Linked DNA regions of Oryctolagus cuniculus. The protein of the gene in region 1 purifies or fractionates together with the protein of each later gene. This does not show direct contact. Links are inferred from orthologs where the notes say so. Each region holds a gene or a part of one and is shown on either strand. Other genes may lie near its edges.

The links.
Region 2: the proteins of SF3A2 (region 1) and CHERP purify together in Homo sapiens (affinity purification with mass spectrometry; 3 studies listed by BioGRID, with this or other methods). This does not show direct contact. The link is inferred for Oryctolagus cuniculus from reciprocal best matches to the Homo sapiens genes SF3A2 and CHERP.

What each region holds. Positions count from the first base shown.
Region 1 is NC_091447.1:59,110,129-59,114,512, reverse strand, and holds the start of SF3A2 (splicing factor 3A subunit 2), read right to left. Parts: upstream 2,936-4,384; 5' UTR 2,780-2,935; intron 2,156-2,779; exon of another isoform or gene 2,049-2,155; intron 1,758-2,048; 5' UTR 1,724-1,757; coding exon 1,598-1,723; intron 1,491-1,597; coding exon 1,419-1,490; intron 1,029-1,418; coding exon 982-1,028; intron 797-981; coding exon 687-796; intron 421-686; coding exon 371-420; intron 261-370; coding exon 120-260; intron 2-119; coding exon 1-1. Other genes in the region: PLEKHJ1 (pleckstrin homology domain-containing family J member 1), read left to right, coding at 3,266-3,359, 3,438-3,505, 3,595-3,661, 3,735-3,825, 3,956-4,019, 4,108-4,224. UniProt on the Homo sapiens protein: Component of the 17S U2 SnRNP complex of the spliceosome, a large ribonucleoprotein complex that removes introns from transcribed pre-mRNAs.
Region 2 is NC_091447.1:64,910,678-64,914,315, forward strand, and holds the end of CHERP (calcium homeostasis endoplasmic reticulum protein), read right to left. Parts: intron 3,590-3,638; coding exon 3,414-3,589; intron 3,007-3,413; coding exon 2,571-3,006; intron 2,410-2,570; coding exon 2,171-2,409; intron 2,061-2,170; coding exon 1,927-2,060; intron 1,782-1,926; coding exon 1,695-1,781; intron 1,605-1,694; coding exon 1,461-1,604; intron 1,386-1,460; coding exon 1,269-1,385; intron 1,137-1,268; coding exon 1,042-1,136; intron 902-1,041; coding exon 716-901; intron 623-715; coding exon 570-622; 3' UTR 63-569; downstream 1-62. UniProt on the Homo sapiens protein: Involved in calcium homeostasis, growth and proliferation.

The sequences.
Region 1 (4,384 bases):
CCTGGGGGGGGGGGGCGGCCGTGGGTCCTGGGGTGGGGAGGGGGCGCGGGGCTGGTGCCGAGACCCAGGGCGGGGCGGGGAGGGGGCGCCGTGGGTCCGAGGGAGGCGGGGGGCCCTACCTTGAAGGCGATGGTCTCGTAGGGCTCGGCGGCCATCAGCAGGTACTGCCAGCGCCGGTCCGGGGGCTCGATCCTCTGCTCGTAGGCCGACATGAAGCGGTGCCGGGGGGTGATGCCCTCGGCGATCTCGGGGTAGTCGATCTGCGGGCGGGCAGTGTCAGGGGCCCCCAGCCCCCACTGCCCCCCGCCCCCGCAGCCCCCACCCGGCCCCGCCCCCGCGGCCCCCCCCCCGACCCCGCGGCCCCGCCCACCTGGAAGAGCAGGCTCTGCTGGCCCATCTCCGTGTCCCGCTGCTTGGTCACTGCAACACCAGGGCCGGTGAGGGGCCCCCCCGCAGCCCCACGTCCCGCCCAGGGCGGCAGGTGAGGCCCAGGTCCCAGCTCAGAGGGCCGGCCCAGGGCTGCACGCCACAGCCCCGCCTGCCCCTCCGTGCCCAGGACCCCGCCTGCCCACAGCCCCACGGCCTCGCCTGTCCCCGCCTGCCCCTCCCTGCCCAGGGCCTCGCCTGTCCCCGCCTGCCCCCCCCCCCCCGCCCAGGGCTGGTGTCGGGCGGCCCCGCCCCCTCACCTTTGTAGCCAGGGCGTCCGATCTTCACGAACTTCTTCACCTCCACCTTGACCTTCTCGGGCGCGGGCTGGGCGGGCGCCTCCTTGGCCTCCTTGGCTGCGCGCCGGGCCCTGGGGCGGGGCAGACGGGCGCTGTGGTCCTCCACACCAGGCCAAGGCCACGGGCGCAGGTGCAGGAGCCCCCCTGCCCGGCCTTGGGCTCCCGCGGGGGGGGTGAGGGGCGGGGCCCTGCGGCTGGGGGGCGGGTCAAGGGGCCCTCCCCCGTGTCACAGCCGGGGGGCGCGGGGGGCACTCACAAGTTGGTCTGATGCTTCTTCCCTTGAGTGTGTGCGAGGTAGCTGCCCTGCGTGGAGGAGGCGGGACATGAGGCCGGGGGCGGGGCCAGGCCGGTGGGCGGGGTAGCGGCAGGCGGGGTGGGGGAGGACCAGGCCGAACAGTGGACAGGGCGGGAGGGGGGGACCAAGCCGGCCGGGGGGTGGGGCAGCGGCAGGCGGGGGTCAGGCCGGGGGCGGGGGGATCAGGCCGGCTGGGGGCGGGGCCAGGCCGGTGGCAGGCAGGAGCGGGGGACCAGGCCGGCCAGTGGACAGGGCGGGAAGGGGGGGGATCAGGCCGGCCGGTGGAGGGGGGGGGCCAGGCCGGCCGGTGGGCGGGGCGGGGGCGAGGGGTTCAGGCCGGCCGGTGGGCGGGGCGGGGGCAGGCAGGGGCGGGGGCAGGGTACCAGGCCGGCCAGTACCTCGTTGTTGTGCAGGGTCAGGCACAGCTTGCACTCGTAGGAGCCCAGGTGGTTCTTCATGAAGTAGGGGTCCTGGGGGAGAGCGGCGCGGGGCGTCAGGGGCGTCAGGGGCGTCGGGGGCGTCGGGCGCGTCGGGGGCGTCGGGGGCGCCCCGCGGGGGGGCGGGCGGGCGGCCCTACCTTGTTGATGTCGATGGTCTCCAGGGCCAGCTGCCGCAGGCGCTCGCGGCGGTCCCGGTTGCTCTCGGAGGAGGAGGCCACGCCCCCACTCCCGGTCTTGCCGCCGGGGCGGTGCTGGAAGTCCATGGTGCCGGCCTGCGGACCTCAGCGCCGGAGAAGCCTGCGGAGCCCAGACCGGGGGGGGCCCTCAGGACGCGGCGGGGGCCGGAGACCCCAGGAGGCAGCCCCCAGCCCCTCCCGGGCGCACCCACGCGGGCTCTCCCGTGTCAGCCGCCGGGCCCAGCCGCGGGCGTCGGGGAGAACGGGGGCGCGGACGACCGCCTGGCGCCCCCCCGCCGTCCACTCCCCAATGCCCCTAAGCCAGGGCTGGGCCTCCCCGTGGACGGCAGGGGCCGCTCGGGCCCCATTCGGGCACTGGCCCGAGTCCTGGCTGCCGGCCCGGGCCCCGCACCTGCTCTGACCCGGCCCGGCCCGGCCCGGCCTCCGGGGACTGGACCGGCGGGAGGAGACCCCGCCCCTGCGACCCCGACTTCCGGGCACGGCGCGGGCGGCCCGGCTGACCCCAGGGCGCTACCGGGCCCGCCCGCGGTCCACGCACGAGCCGCCCCCGGCTGACCCCAGGGCGACCCGGGCCCGCCCGCGGTCCACGCACGAGCCCTGGCGGCCCCACAGCCCCTCCATCGGGACGCGAACCCAGGACCTCAGGGCTGGGGGAGGGGGAACCACGCGAAGGGACAGTCGGACAGCGGACCGAGGGGAAGACGCGGCCCCGGGCACGCAGGCTTGCGGGAGGGAAATCTAAGACGCAGCCGCATCGCCGTCCGCACCCGGGACGCCCCGCAGCCCCCCGGGCGCCCGCGACCGACCCCCACGACGACAAAGGCGCCAGCGGGGGCGGCCTCGGGGGTCCCGGCGGCTTTTGGCGGGAACGCCGGCACGCACCCCCGCGCGCGGCCCCGCGGCCCGGGCCCGCCCCGCCGAGCAGCCGAAGGCCCGCGGCCGCTCCCCGGACCCCGGAGCCCGCCCCGGACGGACGCGAGACCCCCGCGACCCCCGCGACGCCCGCCGCGGAGTTCCGGAGGGCCGGGGTCGCCGTGGGGCCCGCCGCCCGCCCCGGCCCCTCCCTCCCGCGCCCCCAGCCCACCCTGGGCGCCCCGGGGCCCCGATGGCCCCCGCGCCTACTTCGTGTGGGTCGCGCCCCGCGTCGCAGGCCTCCGCCGTCCGCCTCAGGAGCCGCCGCCACGACGTCGCAGTGCGCACGCGCGGCGCGGGCGCTCGCAGCACTTCCGGAGGGAGGACGGGCCCTCGAGTGTGCGCATGCGCGTGCCCGAGGCGCGCCTGCGCACAACGCGCTCCGCGCGCGCACCCGCGTCGGCTCTTGGGGGCGGGGGCGGGAACCGGTAACGCCCCGTCCGCCCGCGCTCGGCGGTCCTTCGATCCTGCTTGCGCCTCAGACCCACTTTATTCCGCGGCTGTGTCGCGGCTGCCCGGCGTGTACCCACGCCCCAGCACGCCGCGGTCGCAGCGCGCAAGACTCGCCCGTGGCGCGCAGGCGCAATGGCGCTTCCGGGGCTCCGACCTGGGATCTTTCTGGCGCGAGCGGGGACGGCGGCCGAGAGGGCTCAGAGCTAGCAGCGCGCGTTCCCGGTCCCGGGCAGCGCCGGCGCCATGCGCTACAACGAGAAGGAGCTGCAGGCGCTGTCCCGGCAGCCGGCCGAGATGGCGGCTGAGCTGGGCATGCGGGGCCCCAAGAAGGGCAGCGGTGAGCGGGCGCGGGCGCGGGCGGGGGCGCGGGGGCGCGGGGGCGCGCGGCCGCCCTGAGCCCGCTGTGTGCCCGCAGTGCTGAAGCGGCGCCTGGTGAAGCTGGTGGTGAACTTCCTCTTCTACTTCCGCACGGACGAGGCCGAGGTGGGCGCGGGGCGCGGGGCGCGGGGGCGGGGCGCGGCGCGGGGCGCGCGGGCGCGGGGCGGCCCCGCTCACGGCGCGTGTGCCCGCAGCCCGTCGGAGCCCTCTTGCTGGAGCGCTGCCGGGTCGCCCAGGAGGAGGCGCGGAGCTTCTCCATCGGTGAGTGCGCGGGCCGGGCGGGGCGGCGCGGGCGCGGGGCGGGCGCGGGCACCCACAGCGGCCGCTCCCGCAGGCTTCCTGGAGGACCCGGAGAGGAAGTACGTGTTCGAGTGCGGCAGCGAGGAGCAGTGCCGGCAGTGGACGGAGGCGCTGCGCAGGGCCAGGTGGGGCCGGGGCGGCGGGGGCGGCGGGGGCGGCGGGCGCGGCGGGCGCGGCGGGCGCGACGGGGGCGGCGGGCGCGGCGGGCGCGGCGGGGGCGGCGGCCTGACCCCGCGGGCACGGCCTCTCCCGCAGCTACGAGGTCATGCGGAGGAGCCTCATCTTCTACCGGAATGAGATCCAGAAGATGACGGGCAAGGTGCGGGGGGCGCGTGCGGGGCGGCCGGGCGGGCGGGGCTCCCGGCCCCGGGCCCCGGGTCACCGCGTCTCCCCGCCCGCCGCCCTAGGACCCCCTGGAGCAGTTCGGGATCTCCGCGGAGGCCCGCTTCCAGATCAGCAGCCCGCCCAGCGACGGGCGGCCGGCGGGCACCGGGCCCGGGCCCGGGCTGGACGCGCTGGACTGACCCCGGCCCGGCCGAGCCTGCGTGGGAGGGGTTCCTGGCGGAGGCGGGGGCTGCCCTCTGGGGGTCCCCGCCCTGCGAGGCCCCTCCCCGCGGCACCGGCCGTCCTGGACCGGCTGAATGTAGAGCGGAGCTAGACCGTGCTGTGAACGGGCCGGGGCGA
Region 2 (3,638 bases), about 5.8 Mb from region 1:
ACCCAGAACCCGCCGCCGCCTGACTGCAGCCGAGCCCACCTGGGATTCCCACACAGAGGAAAGGGCTTTAAAAAAAGTCTTTATTTGAAGGCAAAACAGTAAAATCCACAAGAAGTCGTGAACAGCACGTGTGCGCGTCCCCTGGTCGGACGCGTCGGAACGAGTCACAGCTACGGGACGTGGGGACAAACCAGAGGCCGGGCCCGCGCACAGGGCCGGAGGGACACGGCATCTCCTTGAAGAGACTTGGCAGGAACGTGTCTGTGCCGTCGACGGCGCGGAACGCGTGGCCGCCCCCAGGGTCTCTCCGCTCCGTTCCGCTCCGGGAACAGGCGGCCGCCCACATGGCAGGGAAAACACAAAGGACAAAGTATCCAACTAAAGGAAAACCAGGCCCGGGGCGCAGGCCCGGGGCCATCCGCCAGAGCTCGCTCTAACGCTAAAGCCACGGGAGCCACGGTGGAGACCCCGCCGGCTCAGCCCGGCCACCCCGCGCCGCCCGGGGCCTCCTGCAGGTGAGGATTCCCGCATGGGGGTGTGGGCCCCACGCCCTCGGAGCGTGCTCCTGCCTAGGCGTGCGTCAGGTCCTCCTTCTCCTCCTTCCGGGCCCCGAACGTGGAGACTGCGGGGGAGGCGGGAGGTCACGGGGGCCTCGCGGCCCCGCCCCCGCCTGCCCCGCCCCCGCCCCCGCCGGCCCCGCCCCGCGCCCACTCACACTCGTCCCGGGCCTTCATGCGGGCGATGAAGGAGTAGCTCTTGTTGCGCCGGTAGTTCTCGTAGGGGTCGTCCAGCGCCACGCCCACGCCCTTGTACTGGTCCCACTTGTCGCGCACGTCGCCCCCTTTGATGGGGTCCTGGATGCCCTGCTCCTTCGCGCCCAGGCCGCCGGAGCCGCTCCAGCCTGGGGGGGGCAGGCGCGGTCAGAGCCGGGGAGGGCTGGCAGGGCTGGCAGGGCTGGCAGGGCTGGCAGGGCTGGCGGGGCGGGCCCCACCCCGGTGCCGCGCGTGGCCGTGGCGCGGGCGGCCTCTCCCCGGGCCTCACCCATCTTCACGAGCATCTGATGTCCCTTGTTCTCCTCCCCGAGCCTCGAGTCAGGGATGGAGGGCGCCGAGTTAGCGCCCAGGCCGGCCGAGGAGCTACAATGAAGACGGTTACTGTCAGGAGAGCGGAGGCGTTTATTGCGGACAGCGGGCGGGCGGCCGGCGCGGGGAGGGGCGCGGGCTCCGGCCCTCTTCCTCCACCTGTCCCAGGGCCGGGCCGAGTCTTACGGTGGCGTGGGGCTCCGGGAGCGCGAGCGGCGCCTCCTTCCCGGGGAGTAGGACTTGGAGCGGGAGCGCGAGCGGGACCGGGAGCGGCTTCTGGACGAGCGGGACCGGCTCCGGCTCCTGCGGGCACAGCGGCGGTCAGGGGGCGGAGGGGGCTGGGGCCGCCGCCCCGCCCCGCCAGGGCCGCCCGCTCACCTGGACCTGGAGCGCGAGTAGGAGCGGGAGCAGGAGCGGGAGCGCGAGCGGGAGTAGGAGCCCGACGACTTGGAGGAGCGCGAGCGGGAGCGGGAGGACGAGCGGCCCCGGCTCTTGGACCTGCTGCGGGACCTGGAGGGGCCGCTGCCCCGGGGGGAGGCTGTGAGTGCGCGCTCCGCCCCAGCCCCGCCCCCAGCACTAGCCCCGCCCCGCCCCGCCCGCCGCTGGCCTCACCTGTTCCTCTTCTCCTGGCCCTTCCGCCGCCGGGCCCGCATCTTGGCCCGGAAGAACTCGTACAGGCCGTTCTGCTCCCAGCCTTCGCTGCGACAGGGACGCACGGCGCGTGAGCTGCGGCCCCGCACTACAGCGAGTGCTCCCACGGCCTCCCCACACCGCAGCGTCACCCTCGGGAGGGTCCTGGGGTCCCGCCCTGACGGGGGTGCAGGCGCACGGCCCCCAGCGGTACCTGTTCCTGGGCCTGTCGTGTGAGGGCGGGCTGTAGAAAGCCTCCACGGCCGCCAGCAGCCTCTCGCTGGGCGGCATGGGGGGCGGCAGGCGGATGTCCTTGGGGTCCAGGGGCTTGTACTCGTGGTCCTCCAGCTGGGGGGGAGCACAGCCCTCGCTGGCGCCCAGACCCCTCCGCCCGGCCGCAGCCCCACCTCCCCGGCCCGGCCCGGCCCCAGGGGCTCCCCGAGGCCCAGCGCCCTCACCTTCACGAGCGGCGCCATGAGGCCAGCGGGGAGGTCGAAGTAGGGCACGTTGGGGACCAGGCTGGGGTCGTCGTGGTTGATGTGCGGGGGGCCCTGCCGCCGCATGTGGGGGGGCTGCCCATTGAAGCCATGGGGGGGCGGGCCGAAGTCGGGGTGCTGGGGCCCCGCCCAGGGCGGGTGCTCGTTGATGGCGGGGTGCGGCATGCGGTGGCCGGGGTGGTGGTGCGGGGGGCCCATGTCTGCAAGACCCAGACTCGTGTCAGGGCTGCGGGCCTGACCCCGCAGGGTGGGCCCAGGGGAGGCTAGGAGGGAAGCCGCTGCCCCGTGACCCACCCCGCGCTGTGGGGTGCTGCTCCCGGGGGGGGGGGGGGGCACGGCCAGGGAGGGATGCAGCCCTCACCGGCGGGGAAGTCCCCCTGCGGGTAGTCGAAGCGGTGCGGGTAGGGTGGCCGCTCGAAGGGGTGGCGCGGCGGGAAGTCGTCCTGCATGAAGCGCGGCGGGAAGCGGTTGAAGTTGTGCGGGTGCGGCGGCTGGTTGAACTGCGGGTGCTGCTGGTGCGGCGGGAAGGGCCCGCGGAAGGGCGGCGGCCGCTGCACGCGGAAGGGCGGCTCGCGCTGCCCGCCGGCCCAGGGCGGCTGCTCGTGCTGGCTGTTCCAGGGGCCCTCGAACTGGCTGTTCCAGTTGGGGTCGGGCTGGTTGCTCCAGGGCGCGTCGCGCTGGCCGTTCCAGCCGGGGTCCCCGCGCTGCTCGCCCCACATGCCCTCGTGGCTGTTGCCCCAGGGGGGGCAGTGGGGCGGCCCGCCCTGGTGGTGCGGGTAGGGGGGCTGCTCCGGAGGCTGCAAGGCAAGGCGGCGCCGTGAGCGAGCTGGCTGCCGGGCCCTCCGTGCCCCCACGCGGGCCCCCTCACCGCCCTGGCAGAGGGCACAAGGGCAGGTGCGCCTGGACCCCGCACCCCTGTGCCCACGGCTGCGGAATGGCCAGCACACACCTGTCTCTACTGCTCGCAGTCGCACCCCGGGGGCCATGCCCAGTGCCAGTCTCTGACCGGACCCAGCGTGCCACACGGCCTGGCGCACTGTGCCGGGGTGGGGACCTCAGGACCCGGGGCAGCGCCCTTGCTGGGGAAGCAGAGCCCTCACCCAGGGGCTCAGGGGGAGCGCCGGGAATGGGCCGCGGCTCGGGTGGCTGCCAGCCCCGCAGGCCAAGGCTGTCCCCCGCCCCCAGCCCGAGTTCCAAGCAATACCTGCTGTTGGCCCCAGGGAGCGACAGGGTGGGGCTGGTCAAACCACGGCGGCTTGTTGGGTGGGATCTGGTCGTGGGGCCCAGGGCCCCGGGGGCCGGCGGCTGCAGGGTCCTGGACGCCGCCCGCGGAGTCGTAGTCCGAGGAGCCGGGCATCTGGATGGCTGGCTTGCTGTCGTCTGCATCCGGGCGAGAGGCAGTTAGAGCGCCGCCAGCAGGAGGCGCTGC